5 linked regions of the Macaca fascicularis genome follow. The protein of the gene in region 5 purifies or fractionates together with the protein of the main gene of each other region. This does not show direct contact. Links are inferred from orthologs where the notes say so. Each region holds a gene or a part of one and is shown on either strand. Other genes may lie near its edges.

Region 1 (3,515 bases), on a different chromosome or scaffold from region 5:
TTAAAGTTTCTAATGGTTACATAAAAGTATTATTTCAAGAAACAGGAAGGAATGAAGAAGAAAGTTTTGAGTTTCAGTTTTAACACTTACACAAAAGCTACTCAATGTGATGCTAAGCAATTTATTTAGCAAATATTTATTGTTTGCCTTCCAGGCAATGAGCACTGCTGTGTGCCTGGGATATAGCAAGAAATGAAACACAGAAAGACCCCTTAGTGGATTTGTTTTGTAAATCCTTTTGTTTGGGGATGTTGCATGAATAAGGCTTCTAGTATTGGGTGAAAATCCCCATAGTTCTTTGAAAAAGATTTTCCAAAATCTAACTTTTGTTTTGTTCTTAGACTGCTATATATGTATTTTCTTTTTTGGCTGTAGAACCACAAAATTAATATTCACTCAAACAATTATCGTTTTCAATCTGTAATTCCATTTACAGTTTTTAAATGCTGCAATGGTGAGGTAAGAGTAAAGGAAAAGTAAAATTAAAAAGTTTACGGCCAAGACCTTTGGAGATTTTTTTTTCCTGAATGATATATCTTAAAGGAACCTGTTGTTCTTACAACTTAACTTTTTTAAAACCCAGTGTCGTGTGTTAATTTCAGACTAGTTTTAAGCTTTCTGGTTTTAGTAGCTTTGTGAACTATAAAAACTATTTTAGGAGGAGTATGCTTTTTTGTATTATAGCTTTCTAATTGTGTTTTGTCATTTTAGGGGTTTAACAGTAATGTTTGAAATAATGAAAACATATGGCCACACTTATGAGAAACACTGGTGGCAGGATTTATTTAGAATTGTTTTCCGAATCTTTGACAATATGAAATTGCCAGAACAACAGACAGAGGTAAGAGGATACACAATTTTCATTTAGCTTAGTCAAGTTAAAAGATCCTCAGTATTATCATCAATACATTTTAGTGTTTCAAATTAAGTACAGAAGAGAATTCCTAGAAAATTTTTCTTTAAGGCATGAGAATATAATACTATGTCTTTATAAATAAGAACACTGGCTGGGCACAGTGGCTCACGCCTGTAATCCCAGCACTTTGGAAGGCCAAGGCGTGTGGATCGTCTGAGGTCAGGAGTTTGAGACCAGCCTCACCAACATGGTGAAACCCCATCTCTACTAAAAATACAAAAATTATCCAGGTGTGGTGGCAGGTGCCTGTAGTCCCAGCTACTTGGGAGGCTGAGGCAGGAGAATCGTTTGAACCCGGGAGGTGGAGGTTGCCATGAGCTGAGATTGTGCCACTGCACTGCAGCCTGGGTGACCAGCGAAACTCCGTCTCAAAAAAGAAAAAGAATGCTATGTGGGGGATAGAACTGAATTAATGAATTGATTTTTTTGTTCTGTTTTGTTTTTAGTGTTTTTCTGACTTTTCCATTTCTTTTCCTCGTTTCGACAGTCAAAACTATAAAACGTCAGTAACTTTCTTTTTTTTTTTTTTTTGAGACGGAGTTTTGCTCTGTCGCCCAGGCTGGAGTGCTGTGGCCAGATCTCAGCTCACTGCAAGCTCCGCCTCCCGGGTTTACGCCATTCTCCTGCCTCAGCCTCTCGAGTAGCTGGGACCACAGACGCCCGCCACCTCGCTCGGCTAGTTTTTTGTATTTTTTAGTAGAGACGGGGTTTCACCGTGTTAGCCAGGATGGTCTCCATCTCCTGACCTCGTGATTCGCCCGTCTCGGTCTCCCAAAGTGCTGGGATTACAGGCTTGAGCCACCGCGCCTGGCCAATAACTTTCTTTAGTATTATATAGTGACTTCTTTTTTATGTAAAAAGTAAGGAATACAAAGTAAATTTTATTTATTTCGACATATTTTACTATGAACCAGTTACAATATACATTTTAGGAAACGTGTCAAGAGAGCTTCATATTTTCCCCTTTTGTTCCATACAGCAGTGTTAAATGCAGACTTCTGTGATTATTTTTTATGGGTTTGAAAAAATAAATTACACTTATTTTGTATAGCCCTTTTTTTATGGTGTTTTCAGATAACCCATACTTCAGGAAAGTCATTTTTATTTTAAACCTATGCTAACCCCATTTGGACAAATTCTTACCTCCTTATTTCCCTTTCATATTCTGTCATGGTCTAGAGCAAGGCTGGCTGTTGCTATTCATGCACTTTGAAAAATCATAATGTTAATATCAAGATGATACGGTGATGGTTTTTTTTAATAAAACAAATAGTGCCAAAAATAGTTAAATTATTGTATGCATAGATGGTTATGGGATAATGAGGAGCAATAGATACCAGATTTTAAGTTAAGGTGAATGTAACGTTCTAGAGGGAATTCAGTGGTCTAAAAGGAACACTGACAGCCTTACATTTTAAATATGAAAACATTTATATATATATATGTGTATATATATATGTATATCTTTTTAAATCATAGTAGTTGATTAATGGCATGATGTTCATTAATGACTTTTTTCCCCAGAAAGCTGAATGGATGACAACAACTTGCAATCATGCACTTTATGCAATCTGTGATGTATTCACTCAGTATTTAGAAGTACTCAGTGATGTACTTTTGGATGATATTTTTGCTCAGCTCTACTGGTGTGTGCAGCAAGGTAGGTCTGTACCAGATATGTGACACAAAGTGTTAAATGTGACCCTGGTAATATATAAATGAATTGCTCTTTTCTTTCCTAGACAATGAGCAGTTAGCACGATCTGGTACAAACTGTTTAGAGAATGTTGTTATTCTGAATGGTGAAAAATTTACCCTAGAAATCTGGGATAAAACTTGCAACTGCACACTGGATATCTTCAAAACCACAATCCCACATGCGTAAGAAGATTTTATACAACTTTACATTTATATTTGTATATTGAATGAGTTGGAGAGTGACTAGTGATTAAAAGTTTGATAGTAACTACTGATTTCTCGTAACAGAAATCCTTTTAAGCTTGTCTTACTCTTTTATGGATTTAGATTTATTACAAACCAAACTGCTATAAACTATAACAAATACATGAATTAAACTATTTGTAAACCAAAACCTTTAGTCTGGTTATCCAAAATTTGGGACATAGTGAAGTGATTCCGCTGACTTTTATAAGATTTTATTTATTCAGATCAAACCAAGCAGTGGTTTTGAATTGGGAAAAAAAAAATCTCAGCCTGTTTCTGTTACTGATCTTTTAATAATCTAAGGAAAATGTATTTACACATATTTCATATTTTATAACAGCTTGTCATTTTTCTCTAAGGGATGAGTGTGAAATGGAATTATAGTGAGGCAGGGTTTTTTTTTTTTTTTTTGAGATGGAGTTTCATTCTTGTTTCCCAGACTGGGGTGCAATGGTGTGATCTCAGCTTACCACACCTCCGCCTTTGGGTTCAAGCGATTCTCCTGCCTCAGTCTCCCCAGGTAGCTGGGATTACAGGCATACACCACCATGCCCGGCTAATTTTGTATTTTTAGTAGAGATGGGGTTTCTCCACGTTGGTCAGGTGGTCTCGAACTCCCAACTTCAGGTGATCCACCCACCTCGGCCTCCCAGAG
Region 2 (4,080 bases), on a different chromosome or scaffold from region 5:
TTTTTTTTTTTTTTTTTTTTTTGTAGACATAGGTCTCACTATATTGCTTAAGCAGGTCTCGAACTCCTGGGTTTAAAGGATCCCCCTGCCTCTGCCTCCTCCGTGCGGGGATTACAGGCAGGAGCCATGGCACCTGGTGCTATTTTGCATTCTTTTTTTCATACGAAGTGTTTGAAATCCAGTTTGTACAGTGTTTTACATTTATAGCACATTCCCACTGGGACTAGTCACATTTGAGGTGCTCAAAAGCCACTATGGCTAGGGCTAATGTATTGGACAACACAGTGCTAGGGAGCCCGTCCTGAGGACGCTGCAGTTTATAACATCATAGTTCCTACTCTTTGGACTGCTGCTTTCCCCCAATGTATTAAGACTTGCAGAGTGTAAATAGGGCGCCGTGAGTGTGCAAAGGAACACACCTTCGCAAACGGCTCACTCTGAATACTTACTTTTCGGCTGTCCTACCTTCAATAGGCTTCCCGTGCACAAGCAGAAGGCAGGAGCTGGCGGGGCGGGGAGGAAGGGCGGCTCTGCCATTTAACTATCTGTGCGATGCTGAGCAAATTACACACGGTCTCACTGACTCAGCTCCTTCCTGTTTCAAATGGGTATTATAGTATTTCTCACTACGTAGGTCCTTATGCGGATTAAATGAGCTACTACACGCCATTCGGCACAGCGCCAGGCACACACTCAATGTTCAATACATGTAGGCGGTAAGCCCAGTAAACTGGTAGCCGGCCTGAGCAAGTCCCAGGAAAAGCCCAGAAACTCTGGAGACATTACAGCCCAGGTCAAGAACCACGGCCCAGGCCGTCCTGTACGCGGGCCCGCCAAGCCTAGGGAAGCAGCTTGTCACCGCTTCGGCTTCTAGACTCCCTGGCCGGCTCTTTCCCGTCAAGGCTGCGGCTGGAGGGGCCTGAGGGAGACCTAGGGAGCGGCTTCCTCTTTCCATCCACGGAGACAACTTGGATGTGAACACCATGAATGTGAGGAGGTCCACTGGAATCAGGAGGGATGGACTCCTGGACTCCCCAGCTACCTGCGGGGTCCTTCCCGGTGTGAGGACACAAGACCTGTCCTGGGCCGGGCCCGCATCCAGCCCTACAGTCGGTGTCTGCGGTGAGGGCTCCGTCAGCGGAAAGCGCGTGACAATCCACGGGCTGGCAGGACCGGGGGCGTGGTCAACGCGGGACCCGCCCCCCGTCCCCGGGCCCCAGCGCCGAGCGGACGCGCCCGCCTGAAGCAGCCAATTGGGAAGCGCAGAGCAGGTTCAAACACAGACGGCGGGTGAACATGGCGTCCTCGACTTGGTTTGAGACGTGATCGGCCTGCCTTCTGGCTGAAGATGTGGCGGGTGAAAAAACTGAGCCTTAGCCTGTCGCCTTCGCCCCAGACGGTGAGCGGGAAAGCTCCGGCGGAGAGAGCTGGGCCGGGCTGCTGGCGCGGGGGCACCGGCCGTGTCGACTGTCCTGGAAAGTTGGGTCGAGCCCGGGGTTGGGTGCTTGTGGAGTCTTTGTTCGCCTTGCCGCTCCTGCGCGACTAGAATGCGAGCCTACTCTTCTAATCGCCTCTTGGGCTTCTTAGGGAGGGAGGAAGGGCGGGCTAGCAGAGCCCAGGCTTCCTCACACTAGCCCTCTTTCTTGATTTCTTTCTTAGGGAAAACCAGCTATGAGAACTCCTCTCCGCGAACTTATCCTGCAGCCCGGTGCCCTCACCAACTCTGGAAAAAGGCCCCCCGCTTGCTCCTCGCTGACCCCATCACTGTGCAAGCTGGGGCTGCAGGTGAGATTCGCCTGGACAGCTTCTCGACTGGGCTGTTTGCCCAGGGTGAGAGCTCAGGGGAACAGAGGGCCAGGGCTAGAATAATTAATAACGATAATGAAGTCTTCTACGTCACTGACATCCATTTACAGCTATTCAGGCCAACAGAGAGGTGCCCTAGGGTGGTTAAAGGAAATCTACTGAGAACCTGAATCTCTGTTTAGCTGTTAGTTTTTATTACCTCCTCCTCCTCCTCCCTTCGACCTTTATCAAACTACTTAGAAATCCTGCCACTCTGATTAGTGCTCTTCCTCCAACATGGGGTCACTTATGGAAAGGTCAGTCAGCTGTAAGATTGAGGCAATATCCATTCACTCTAGGAGGTAGTCAGAACTCTCCTGGGATCAAGTTACACCACTGGAAGGCAGGGTACTTGGATCACCTTAGTTTAAACTAGCCCCTTGCAGAATTGCCCTCACCGATTTGTACTTTTGTTAAACGTCTTGAGAGATGTAGCCATGTAGAAACTGCATTTCAGTTGCTGTCAAAACTTGTCAAGGAAGAAGCTTGACTCCTGTATAAGATTCCTCAAAGAAAGGCTTTGGGACTAACTGCCTGGAAAAATTGTCTTCCTGAAGAAATTGCTATCCTTTTCTTTCTGATAATGAGAACTATGCAGTTTACCATATTTTCCCTCTTGCTCTGCCTTCTAGAAAGCTCAAGGCCAAACTGGATCATCACATACAGCTACTGTTACTCGCAAAATAGGAAGTTTTGCTTCCTCTTTTTTGACCATGACTTTGTTATTTCATTAATCATATCTATTCATTTTCATGCATATGAATTATTTTTGGAAGGAGATGGGATATCAGTAAAATTGGTTTGAGGAGGAAAGAGTGTATAAAGACAGATGACATCCTGAGTAACAGTAGGATGATAGCAGTCTTTCTTGAAAGAGTTGCAAAATACCTACTGTCCAATAGAACTTTCTGGGATGAGGGAAATATTTGATAATCTGTGCTGTCCAGCATGGTAACTACTAGTCACATGGTTACCGAGCACTTAAAATGTGGCTGAGGTGACTGAAGAATTGAATTTTTTTGTTTTTGAGATGGGAGTCTTGCTCTGTCACCCAGGCTGGAGTGCAGTGGAGTGATCTTGGCTCACTGCAATCTCTGCCTCCAGGGCTCAAGGGATTCTCCTGCCTCAGGCTCCTGAGTAACTGGGATTACAGGTGCATGCCACCACACCCAGGTAATTTTTTGTATTTTTAGTAGAGATAGGGTTTCACAATGTTGGCCACGCTGGTCTCAAACTCCTGACCTCAACTGGTCCGCCTGCCTCGGCCTTCCAAAGTGCTGGGATTACAGGTGTGAGCCGCTGCGCCTGGCCTGAAGAATTGAATTTTTAATTAAATTAAATTAAATTTTTTTTTTTTTTTTTTTGAGATGGAGTTTCGCTCTTGTTGCCCAGGTTGGAGTGCAATGGTGTGATCTCGGCTCACTGCAACCTCTGCCTCCCGGGTTCAAGCAATTCTCCTGTCTCAGCCTCCGGCATGTGCCACCACGCCCAGCTAATTTTTGTATTTTCAGTAAAGATGGGGTTTCTCCACGTTGATCGGGCTGGTCTCGAACTCATGACCTCAGGTGATCTGCCCGCCTTTGCCTCCCAAAGAGCTGGGATTATAGGCGTGAGCCACTGCGCCTGGCCTGAATTTTTAATTTAAATAGCTACGTGTGACAGGTAGCTATCATATTAGACAGTACAGCTTAAGGTGGAAAATAAATAAGTACTAGGTAGAAATTGAGCTCTATAGAGCTTATAGAATTTATTATGATTATTAATTAATTTATTTATTTTGAGATGCAGTTTCGCTCTTGTTCCGTAGGCTAGAGTGCAATGGCATGATCTTGGCTCACTGCATCCTCTGCCTCCTCGGTTCAAGCGATTCTCCTGCCTCAGCCTCCCTAGTAGCTGGGATTACAGGCATGTGCCACCACGCCTGGCTAATTTTCGTATTTTTAGTAGAGATGGGGTTTTGCCATATTGGCCAGGCTGGTCTCGAATTCCTGACCTCAGGTGATCCACCTGCCTCAGCCTCCCAAAGTGTTGGGATTACAGGCAGGAGCCACAGCGCCTGGCCTGAGCTTATAGAATTTAACCATGATTATTTAATCACAATAGCAGAATACTAGATTGAAATTGAATTCTCCTTCCCTCTTAACTACTGGGCGTACTACCTTCAGATGTAGTCAGCTACTCGATGAAAAGGGTTTTTCCCCAACAAAATAGCCATTATTTTTGTTTTGTAAAAAA
Region 3 (3,515 bases), on a different chromosome or scaffold from region 5:
TAAAGTTTATCAGTAAAAACAAAGTAGCCGGGCGCGGTGGCTCAAGCCTGTAATCCCAGCACTTTGGGAGGCCGAGGCGGGCGGATCACGAGGTCAGGAGATCGAGACCATCCTGGCTAACACGGTGAAACCCCGTCTCTACTAAAAATACAAAAAACTAGCCGGGCGCGGTGGCGGGCGCCTGTAGTCCCAGCTACTCGGGAGGCTGAGGCAGGAGAATGGCGTAAACCCGGGAGGCGGAGCTTGCAGTGAGCTGAGATCCGGCCACTGCACTCCAGCCTGGGTGACAGAGCAAGACTCCGTCTCAAAAAAAACAAAAAAAAAACAAAGTAAGTCCAAAGAGGTCTACAATAAAATCCATCTCCTTAACCTCCCAGACCTCCATATCTCCTACCTAAAAGAAAGAAAACCTTTTCTTCTTTGTCCCTCTAAATTCTTTTCTAAACTGATTTTCTAAATTGTTCAAAAAGTAGGAGCACAATATGTTAAGGCTCTAAACAAAAGAGGCAACATGCCCTGGTTCTGAAGGCAGGGCTATGGTCCCACATACCCCAGGCTTCCAGGTATGGCTTTTCCACTCGCCAGCAACATGACCATGGGCAAGTTATTTTTCTCTCCTTTCAGTTTCCTCATAATGCAAAATGGAGCTAATAATAGTACCTACGTCACAGAACTCATGGAGATGGAATGAGGGTGCACAGGATACACGTAAGAGGATACACATAATTTGCACACAGCAACCACTCTACAAGTGAGAGCAACTATTATTACAATTATTATCTTCCCATTTTTCCTATATTAAAAACGTGTAACTGTGATTTTTATCCCTAAAAATAGATCCATTAACTGTTCTCTTGCAATTAATATTACGCAACTGTAAATCCTTGATAAAAGAGGAAAAAAGCCTAAGTTTTCTTCCTATTGTTATATTGCCCACACTGAATTGTGTACCTGCCAAGTACAACATACAGGACAATGCTTTAAGCAAACTCCCACTTTTAGTAGTAAACCAAAGTCCTCAAGCTGATATTTCATTCTTCATCAATGACAAGACATTTTTCCTTCAAAAGTTTCACAATAAAAAAATTTTCTGAACTTAGTTCTAATCAAAAGTTTAAACTACATCTTACACACTCGAGTAAACAAAAGTCACCTTAGAGTCATCTCAGTTTCTTAAAATTTTATCCAAATTATCCAATGACCATGTTATCCAAATAAAATGGTCAAGTAGTACAGATGGAAATAAAATACTTTAAAAAGGAAAAAAAAAAAGCATGTGCTTTTCCATTTACTTTATCAAAAGCACCTCCTTTACCAAAAGCAATTTCAACCTCAAAGGAAATATGCTTGACTTAAAATAACATGACTTTAATGATACAGCATAAGCCATCTTCTCTTCTCTGTTGAGAAGGGTGAGGAGAGAGACCTTTAAACCCTGGATTTAATCTCGTTTGTTCTCTTTCAAGTTTTCCCAATCAATGTAGTAAAAGCTTCCACAATTTCCTTCTACAATTAGAGCAGATTTATGACAATCCCATAAGGCAGTACCTGAATGAATCATGTTCTCTTTTTCCTCACCTTTAAATACCCCAGAATGAGAACTATTAAAGGTTCTTAAGATAAAATCCTGGCTAATCAGATGACTTCACAAAAGCCAATTTATCATAAAGTAAATGTTTCCTCTGTAAGTCAAAAATAAATGTTTGCCAATGGCTGTTTTAAAGTTGTTTTTTAAAAGGCAACACTTTTTGATGGAAATAATTTCTGATGAGAATTAACTTCCACATAACATTTTTTGTGTATGTGGTTTTGTTTTTGTTTTTGAAATAGCAATATTTTTCCATAAACAAGGAACAAAAAACAAGAAGAGACCTTGTAAATTATCTTACCTAGGGTTTCTTCTGCCTAAGCATTACTGACACTTTGGACTAGGTATTCTTTGTTAGAGGGAGATGAGGGAGGCTGTTCTGTGCACTGTAGACTATTTGGCTACAGCTTTGGCCTCTACCCACTAGATGTCAGTAGCACCCTCCCAGTTGTGACAGTAAAAAATTTCTCGACACTGCTGAATGTTCAGTGGGGGTAGGGGGGGCAGGGGAGGAAGTGAGGGGGTTAACTACTAGATTAAGAAACACTGATTTTAATCCAACTTTCTCCTTTTAACCATCAGCTACTCAAACCCAGGGCAGCTGCATATTCAAATTAATTGGCAAAAACTTCTCTGTGGTTCACTTTCCTTCCTCAGTCCAACAGTAAACATTATGTATGTACCAACATCATCCAAGATGATTTTCATAAACAAAACTAAATGACCTATAGTCAATTTTGAATCAATTTCAGTCAATTTTAACAAAAAAACCTCAATATCTGATATGTTATTATCATTACTTCTTTGAACCAAGTTAATACCAAAGGCTGAATTGTTTTTAAAGATCATGTGATGGAATGCCAGTTTCAGATACATACAATTTTAACAATGTATTCAAATGAGTCAAAAAGCTAAATACTTGTAAACTACTAAAATGTATATACATAATAAATATATTCTGAAATCCCAAAGTTGTTTTCTCGGTTCATATTAGAAAAAGCAAGGTTTCAAGTAAAATCTCTTATTTTACATGAGTCACTTACTTGACATTTGTCTCCAACTTCATATTGTAAGCCAGCAGCAATGGAATAATCACGTTTTTGCTGAGCTGTTAAAAAAAAAAAAAAGGTCAGTATAATATAAAGTTGACTTATTTTCAAGTGCTACAAAGCAAATTTATGGAAAATGCAGATTTTTAACTCACCTTGTTTAGACTTCAGCCAAATTTCATATTCCACATTTCTATAGACTGAAGGATTGAGTGACTTAAGAACCTTTCTAGACAAAGGCAGGCTAGTAGAGTTCCCATTGTTCTTCAGCTGCTAAACAAACAAAGTCAAGAAGTCCAATCAACACAAGTGCTTTTAAAACATTTTTGTTTGAGATACATGTAAAACTAAAGTCAAATGAAGAAAAGAAACTTCAAAAAACTAGGAAGCCACCAAATCAATTTCTTAGATGATCCTGACTTGACTGAAATGTACCAGAAAAAAGAAAAAAAAATTAAGATTTTAATGTATATGCTTTCTTATATTAAAGAGCTAGTTTTAAAACCACTTTAAAAAAAAATACCTCATTGTCTGACAAAGGTTTAAATCCATTCACATCAGCAGCAGCAGCAGTTTTACTCCTACAAAGAAAGATAACCATAATTAGGGGCAGAAAAAAGGTATTTGCATGTAATTACCTTCTAACTTCATCTAAAAGTCTTCAAAGTCAGAATTATGCTCCAAAAAGTCAGAGCTATATTCCAGTGAGCTCATACAAGTTTTGGTATAAATATATCTATATATAAAAGAGTATATGTATGTAAATGTATATATATATAAGATAGAAGTCAAAGACAACAGTAATTCTAACTGGCTCAGTAATCAGTAAGAGAACAGAAATAAACTGTGAAATCTGGGTGGGTAGAATAATTGAATTT
Region 4 (3,515 bases), on a different chromosome or scaffold from region 5:
TAGCATTTTTAAGCACCAAAGCAGGTAAGTTAGGCAGATGAACAGGAAGTCTGTTTTGTCTAAGCCAGTCAAGTAGCTTGGACACTACCTATCCTTATTTTTTTTGGAGATGGAGTTTCGTTCTTGTTGCCTAGGCTGGAGTGCAATGGTGCAATCTCGGCTCACCGCAACCTCTACCTCCTGGGTTCAAGCCAGTCTCCTGCCTCAGCCTCCCGAGTAGCTGGGATTACAGGCACGTACCACCACGCCCGGCTAATTTTGTATTTTTAGTAGAGACGGGGTTTCTCCATGTTGGTCAGGCTGGTCTCGAACTCCCGACCTGAGGTTATCTGCCTGCCTCGGTCTCCCAAAGTGCTGGGATTATAGGCGTGAGCCACCGTGCCCAGCCTACCCATTCTTAAAGACAGTTTTAATCCGTATCTCCATTTTTGCCCCTAATGAGCTGTCATCACAAAGCTATGGATTTCTTGTCAGTAGGCATGAGTAAGTAGTTTGCTAAGACTCTTGATTAACTGAAAATTTCTGATCATTTCTAAGTTTTGCCAAATCTAAAAGAACACAACCCACCAGTATCTCTGGAGCGTTGCTGACTTAACACCTACCTGCATTCCAAAGATGCAGGCAATTCGGATTGCACATCGGATACCTTCCAAACACAAGGAGGCCACTTCAGTGTCGTCACAGTTCTGGAGTCCGATGCTGTAGGCTGCCAATAGTGGCGTCCACACCAGCTATCAAGGAAGGAAGGTTTCAGTAACATCCAGAGTTTCAGCGTGGAAAGAGTACTTCTAGCTGGCCAGCTTCAGAATCAGGCTTAGCCACATGCTTGCTGAGTTCTCAGGATACTCACTTTGAACATTGGGCGGACGTGGTCCAGGTGAGTGGCACTCGTAAACGGGGCTTTTGCATGGCTCACAGCCTCCATCAGAGCTTTGGCTGTTTTAGCCATTTGCTCCATCTCTAAGTTGTACAGGAGCCGCCGCTGCTTTTCACTAGCTACATCTATAAAGTAAGAGCACGATAGGTGTGGCCAGCCATCACCTGAGGGCTGGCTACATGCCATGCACTGTTTCAAAAGATACACAATGATTAACTCCTAAATCCTCCCAACCATCTCGTGAGTCCGTTACAAATATTATTACCATTTAACGGATGGGAAAAATGAGCAGGTAAGTCACTTGCCCAGGGTCATACAATTACTAAGTAGAGGAGCTGGGACTTGATCTAAGGCAGTGTGGCTCTAGAGCCTGCACTCTAAACCACTACCCTTTGCTGCTTCTCAAACGGTGAAACTGACAGCTCCCCAGGGGCCATAACTAATAGAATTCTAATCAAGGTGGGCACAATCACCACTGAATTAAAGTGAAGTTTTAAGGAACACTTTTTGGGAGTAATTTAGTTCTCAGATTACTAATTTCAAATTCCTTCTTGCTCCTCATCAGAAATCTAGCAAGACAGTGACATTATAAAAGACCTAACATAATCACAAGAATTAGTTCAATCACATTTCCTATTCAGATATCTAGATATGCACATTAAATTTATCACCAGAGTATCTAATCATGCACTCTGATACACTAACAAATTAGAACTAAAAGAAATAATTTGCCATTAGACCTTACTCTGCTTAGTAGATTTGGTAGCAATCGTGAGCTCTTTTGTTTCTTTCATTGCAATTTTCTTGCCTTCTATCTCTTCATAGATGCTTGAGAGATACTCTTCTGGCAGATCTTTACTATCATTGATACCCCGATTCATTTTAATATACTGCTCTTTTGTCATTTTATTTTTTACCTGTAATTTTAAAAAAAATTAAAAACCATTTTAAAAACATTCAATTGCCCAAGTAAAGCCACTTATTTAGCTACTACAACATGTAAATCATTGAACTACTTTACCTGAGGACTGTGCAAGTCTGTAGTTAGCATAATAATTGAATATGCTAGGACATAAGCAGTGTCAGCACTAGCAAACAGAGTTTGCCTGGAGAAAAAAATTCGAGATATCAATATTCATAGTGATGAGGTTTAGAAGATACAATGCTAACAGAGACACACTTCATGAGAAAAGCAGCCGATTACTCCCCTTGATTCCAAATGAGGCAAGAGTTTTTACGCTTTCATCATCACTGAATAAGACTTAGCAACCCAGAGTGTAGAAAAAGCTCATTAACAATCTGTATCAAATTTTAGGCTTCTTTGGCAGGGCGTGGTGGCTCAGGCCTGTCATCCCAGCACTTTGGGAGGCAGAGGTGGGTGGATCACCTGAGGTCAGGAGTTCGAGCCCAGCCTGGCCAACATGGTGAAACCCCGTCTCTACTAAAAATACAAAACTTAGCTGGGAGTGGTGGCAGCTGCCCATAATCCCAGCTATTCAGGAGGCTGAGGCAGGAGAATCGCCTGAACCTGGGAGGTGAAGGTTGCAGTGAGCCGAGACTGCGCTACTGCACTCCAACCTGGGTGACAGAGTGAGACGGTCTCAAAATAAATAAATAAATAATTAATTAAAATTTAGCCTTCTTTGAATAAAGCAATTTCAAATAATTTTTTTAAAAAGACTCTAAGAAGCATCTGGGGCCAAGACTAGGGCGAGGCAAGTGAGCAGGTCAGGAGATCTTACACTTGGTGCCGACCTAGAGGGCAACTCACCACATTTCACACACTAAGTGCCTTGAGTGCCTCCCCGCACCCTGTCCTGTTCCTGAGAACATCTATTTTGTGCCATGCACTGTGCTAGACATGAGATATAAAGATGACTAAAACTGCTGTTTAGCTGTTAGTTATAGTCTATATTATCCATTATAACATTGAACAGTAGAAATACCATGGAAAATATTTATGTTGTTCTAAAAAATATGCTGGTGAAGTCTGACTTTTTTGCCTTAGTCAAGAAGAGAAGGACAGCAACATGTGGATGCACAGCCTCATACAATATGAGGCTGAAGCTAGAAACTGTTCTGTCCAAACTGTCCATAACAGAAACAGTAGAAATTTTGAAGAACACAACAAAGGTATTTTAGTATGAGATGAAACTGGGTCACATATTGACCGACTAAGCAAAACAGACCAAGGCTTCCAGGTCCACATAAGAGATACGTTTAAAGTAAACAGCATCTAATTATGCCTTCACAGAGAGTTCTAATGTCCCTTTGGTTAAAATGATCATATGCTGCCTTTGCCAATCCTGCCACCTCCTGGGGACAGCCTGCCATATACTTGGAAGACTGGGAGCAATTAATATGAAAACAAAGTTGACTGGAGAGGCAAAACGGTTATTAAAATGTTTCAACCAGGTGTGGTAGCTCACATTTGTAAATCTCCCACTTTGGGAGTTCGAGGCAGGGGGATCCCTTGAGGCTAGGAGTTCAAGACCAGACTGGGCAACATGGTGAAACTCTCTCTCTGCAGAAATACGATACAAAAAATTAGCCAGGCACAGTGGCATCCACCTGTAGTCCCAGCAGTTCAGGAGGCTGAGGTGGGAGGACTGATCGAGCCCAGGAGATCCAGGCTGCA
Region 5 (4,143 bases):
TAGTCCCAGCTACTTGGGTGTCTGAGGTGGAAGAATTGCTTGAACCTGGGAGATTAAGACTGCAGTGAGACGTGACTGCACCACTGCACTCCAGTCTGGGCGACAGAGACCTTGTCTCAAAAAAATATATATATATGTAAATTAAATTTGTGAGGCTGGGCACAGTGGGTCATGCCTATAACATCAACACTTGGGGAAGCTAAGACAGGAGGATCACTTGAGGCCAGGCATTCCTAGGTGACAGAGTGAGATTGTCTCAAAAAAAAATAAAAAGTAAAAACAAATAGAATTGTATAAAGCACCTGTGTTTGAAGCTGAAAATCAAATTTTTAATAAATCACGTCAATACTGTGTTGGCTGATGTTATTTAGGAGCCTGGAAATCTAAGGAGATTAAAAGGTTAAATTCTAGTGGAGGCCAGGCGCGATGGCTCACACTTGTAATCCCAGCACTTTGAGGGGCTGAGGCAAGGTAAGGAGTTCAAGACCAGCCTGGCCCACCTGGTGAAACCTCGTCTCTACTAAAAATACAAAAAATTAGCTGAGCATGGTGGCGCATGCCTGTAGTCCCAGCTACTTGGGAGGCTAAGGCAGGACAATCGCTTGAACCCGGAGGTGGAGGCTGCAGTCAGCTGAGATCATGCCGCTGCACTCCAGCTTGGGCAACATCTTCTGTGTAGTCAGTTACCTCCTACAACTGTCATTTTTCTGCCTTTTACCATTCAATCTTTCGCTTGCTCCATCCAACCACTCTGGCCTCCTTATACTTCCTGAAACTCTTGACAGATATTGTTTCTTTCAGGTTTCTGCTCAAAAGTACTTAAGAAAGGCCTTCCCCCCACCACCCTATATAAAATGACACACACATCCCACCTGTCACTTGTTTTTTTTTTTTTGAGAAAGAGTGTCACTGTTGCCCAGGGGCACAATCACAACTCACTGGACCCTTGACCTCTTGGGTTCAAGTGATTCTCTCACCTCAGCCTCCAGAGTAGCTAAATTACAGGCACACACCATGCCCAGCAATTTTTTCTTTTAAGAGACGGGAGTTTTGCCATGTTGCCCAGACTGCTCTTGAACTCCTGGGCTCTAGCAGTCCACCCACCTCAGCCTCCCAAAGTGCTAAGACTACAGGCATGAGCCACGTGCCTGGCCTCACCTGTTACTCTTTATCCCTAACTTCTGCTGTATTTTTATCTGTAACACTTACCTCTAGCTGACACTAGGTATTTATGTATTTGTCTCCCTCAACTAGGACATAAGCTTATGAGAGCCGAGACTTTTATCCTCCTCTGCTTATCTCCAGTGTGCAGAACAGATGCCTGAGTAAAATGATTAAATGAAAGAAATGAACTTATGGAGTTTTTAGAGGGAATGACATTCAAAGCATCTGTGACACTTCCAGAGACAACATAGCACAGTACTTTCAGAGTAGTCCCTTAATACTTGCTGAAGTTTATTTGCAAAGAGGTAAACTATTATCTGAACCCCAAATAGGTAACAATTCAAAATTACTAGCCTGCTTTCTGCTAAGACCCAGGAGTTATGCTCCTAGAATTTTCCTCTAAACTTTGCTTCTGTCCAAAGAGCAGTTACCTACTTATTTCCCACACTTCCCAAACTTCCTAGTTTGACCCAAGTCCTGATCCCTGCCAACAATTCCATTCTACACCCTTGAAAATCCCAGTGAGTTAAGTGACATAGCAGGCATTTAAATTACTGTTAAGCTAATGAAGTAAACTGTACCCTACCCCTTGGAATCCTCCTGTTTCCGACACTTTACTCATCTACTTACTTAGATCTCGAAGCCACGAATGAAGAGATACAGCGTTAACAGTAAGTTTTCATTTTAAAAAGTGAAAACAATGTAACCATTTTGATATGCCCTCGAGCTCTTTAAACTGTAATTCTACTTTAACTATGAAATATACACAAAATAAAAATTGACACAGACTAAGGAATGGGGGCTGAAAAGCCACAGCCAAATTGGCCATGCATCTCCTACTTCGGGGATTAGGCTCACTCAACTATTTCATAGCCCACTTTGAAATTCGGTCATTTTTCCAGTTGCTCTTTGTTGGAGGGAAACTGTTTCTTAACAAGATTCTGAGGACTCCACAAAAACCGTAAGGTGGGAGGAATTGGGATCTGAAGGTCTTTGGCAAACATGTCCACTGCGGCTGCTCGAGGCAAAGCAACGGAAGTTGAAGAGACTTTGCAACAGCTGCAAGAGTTTCACTCCCAGTGCAGAGAAGGGTAGCGTAGCTAGGCTACCTCACCCGGGCGGCCTCCAGCAGCCAGGTCCCTACCGAACCCCGAGGCCCACCTCGCTGGACCCCGGACGGGCCCCATCTGTTTCCCCTCCTTCCCCACGCTACGGCCCGCTGGGGAAAGGGGCAGCGCCGGGGAGCACGACGAGGGCACGAGGTACCCTCTCCTAGCCCAGGCTCACCCTTGGTCAGCGTGTCCAGCACCCCCGACTTCTCCAAGTACCTCCGGAACTGCTCACGCTTCGAGTCGGCGGCCTGAAGAGACACCGGGGGTCAGTGGCCAGAGCCCGGGAGCCGAGCAGGAAGAAGGTGCTAGGAGTCTGGCAACCCCGCCTCCGCCTCGCTACCTCGGGGCCCTCCCGCCCAAACCTGCGCGCGCGACCCCACTCCCACCCAGAGCCGACCAACGGCTTGCTACCGCCCGCATGCCCCCAGCCACGCCGCGCCCCCCTCACTTTGTAATGGGCCATAGTGACAGCGGCAGCGGCGTAGCTGGCGCCGGAGACCGCGACTGGCGGGTTGGGAGCAGAACTGCTCATGCGCGGAAGGGGGCGCGCGGCTGCGCACTTGCGAACCACGGGCAGGGATCGCCGGGGTGTGGCCTGTTTTCATGGCGACCAGGACGCTCTGCATCCCCCGTTGCAGGCTGAGCCGAGGGAGGCTGCGTATGCCCGCCCCTCTGGCTGTTGGAGCCGCACCTCTTCCTCTTCCGGTCCCCGTAGCGATTCGTTTTCTTTGCAAGAGGTGAGATTTTGGTAACTCTGTACTGGCGTCCGGAGGCAGGGCCCGGGAGCACTGGGACTATTGCGAGAGGAAGGATCGCCGCACGGTGGTAGCGAGCTCATTTTTCTCATCTGGGACCTCGGAAACTGTGGTGACCCATAGGTGCTGGACTTTTTGGCTCTCTTCCTGAGAAAGTGCTCACGACTTTGCAGTAGCTGAGGAGGGTGTTTAGAATCATGTATTTTGGTTCCAGCTTTTATCTTTGGAGTCTCCTTGAGTCGTGGCTGACTTGATGTGGGCTTCTGGAGAATGAGCAGTAACGAGCTTGCAATAGCTTTTGAGCGCTGTGCGCCAGGCACTGTAGAAAACACGGGTATTTTAAATTTTAATCCTCACAACACCCTTGTAGGGTGCGTACTGTTAATTAAGTGGAGAGGTTAGATGTCCAGTGAGTAGAGCCGAGTCCAATCCGGGCAATGAATCACGATGCTATGAACTGGTGAAAGAAAGCCACGGATCTTTTTAAGATTTTATTTACTAGGTAGCAACATGTGATTATACTCGAGACATATCAGGATGCAGTCTAGAAGGAAACTACGTGATTGTGTTTCAGGGGCAAACAAAATTAACCCAGTGTCCAAGGTGGAATTATGTAGATGAAGAACCGTGTCCTAAGGCTGTGGTCTCTTCAAAGAGAAAACCTGATCAAACCATTTAGCCCCAGTTCTGAACATGTGATATTCCCAAAATCAGTTACACACATTCGAAAGAATATCATTAAAAAAAAAAAAAATCCTGATTTGACAACCTTATGTCTTTGGATTTAGAAGTGTTCTTTCACAATCTAGAATTAGAGCTGTTTTTCCCTTGCTGAAATGAGTTTGCCGTCTGTCTTAACAGCTGGTCTTTAGAGCTGCCCATATCTATTTTGTCCGTGCCCCACCACCACTAGGCTACTTCTCTGATAATATATACAATGTCTAAAAGCCAACCGCTGTCTAGATCTGAAGATCTGTGGGAACCCGCCTACCAATGAGATTGTTCGTTAGGGACACTACGTGATTTGGAGGACACACAGGATTATTACAGGTTCTGACCAACCCTAGCTCAAAGGACAGCCCTCCCAAAGAATCAGCTGTGTTTGGAATGTC

What was found.
Region 1: the proteins of MYCBP (region 5) and ARFGEF1 purify together in Homo sapiens (co-immunoprecipitation; 4 studies listed by BioGRID and IntAct, with this or other methods). This does not show direct contact. The link is inferred for Macaca fascicularis from reciprocal best matches to the Homo sapiens genes MYCBP and ARFGEF1.
Region 2: the proteins of MYCBP (region 5) and SPAG5 purify together in Homo sapiens (co-immunoprecipitation; 3 studies listed by BioGRID and IntAct, with this or other methods). This does not show direct contact. The link is inferred for Macaca fascicularis from reciprocal best matches to the Homo sapiens genes MYCBP and SPAG5.
Region 3: the proteins of MYCBP (region 5) and OTUD4 purify together in Homo sapiens (co-immunoprecipitation; 3 studies listed by BioGRID and IntAct, with this or other methods). This does not show direct contact. The link is inferred for Macaca fascicularis from reciprocal best matches to the Homo sapiens genes MYCBP and OTUD4.
Region 4: the proteins of MYCBP (region 5) and ARFGEF2 purify together in Homo sapiens (co-immunoprecipitation; 4 studies listed by BioGRID and IntAct, with this or other methods). This does not show direct contact. The link is inferred for Macaca fascicularis from reciprocal best matches to the Homo sapiens genes MYCBP and ARFGEF2.

The regions. Positions count from the first base shown.
Region 1 is NC_088382.1:77,203,184-77,206,698, reverse strand, and holds part of ARFGEF1 (brefeldin A-inhibited guanine nucleotide-exchange protein 1), read left to right. Parts: intron 1-711; coding exon 712-841; intron 842-2,440; coding exon 2,441-2,576; intron 2,577-2,658; coding exon 2,659-2,797; intron 2,798-3,515. UniProt on the Homo sapiens protein: Promotes guanine-nucleotide exchange on ARF1 and ARF3. Promotes the activation of ARF1/ARF3 through replacement of GDP with GTP. Involved in vesicular trafficking.
Region 2 is NC_088390.1:34,067,047-34,071,126, reverse strand, and holds the start of SPAG5 (sperm-associated antigen 5), read left to right. Parts: upstream 1-1,279; 5' UTR 1,280-1,348; coding exon 1,349-1,399; intron 1,400-1,659; coding exon 1,660-1,830; intron 1,831-4,080. UniProt on the Homo sapiens protein: Essential component of the mitotic spindle required for normal chromosome segregation and progression into anaphase. Required for chromosome alignment, normal timing of sister chromatid segregation, and maintenance of spindle pole architecture.
Region 3 is NC_088379.1:150,054,391-150,057,905, forward strand, and holds part of OTUD4 (OTU domain-containing protein 4), read right to left. Parts: intron 3,219-3,515; coding exon 3,161-3,218; intron 2,911-3,160; coding exon 2,793-2,910; intron 2,697-2,792; coding exon 2,632-2,696; intron 1-2,631.
Region 4 is NC_088384.1:105,052,391-105,055,905, reverse strand, and holds part of ARFGEF2 (brefeldin A-inhibited guanine nucleotide-exchange protein 2), read right to left. Parts: intron 1,984-3,515; coding exon 1,899-1,983; intron 1,795-1,898; coding exon 1,623-1,794; intron 1,003-1,622; coding exon 851-1,002; intron 732-850; coding exon 603-731; intron 1-602. UniProt on the Homo sapiens protein: Promotes guanine-nucleotide exchange on ARF1 and ARF3 and to a lower extent on ARF5 and ARF6. Promotes the activation of ARF1/ARF5/ARF6 through replacement of GDP with GTP. Involved in the regulation of Golgi vesicular transport.
Region 5 is NC_088375.1:196,053,936-196,058,078, reverse strand, and holds the start of MYCBP (C-Myc-binding protein), read right to left. Parts: upstream 2,811-4,143; 5' UTR 2,809-2,810; coding exon 2,725-2,808; intron 2,525-2,724; coding exon 2,452-2,524; intron 1-2,451. Other genes in the region: GJA9 (gap junction alpha-9 protein), read right to left, coding at 3,991-4,143. UniProt on the Homo sapiens protein: May control the transcriptional activity of MYC. Stimulates the activation of E box-dependent transcription by MYC.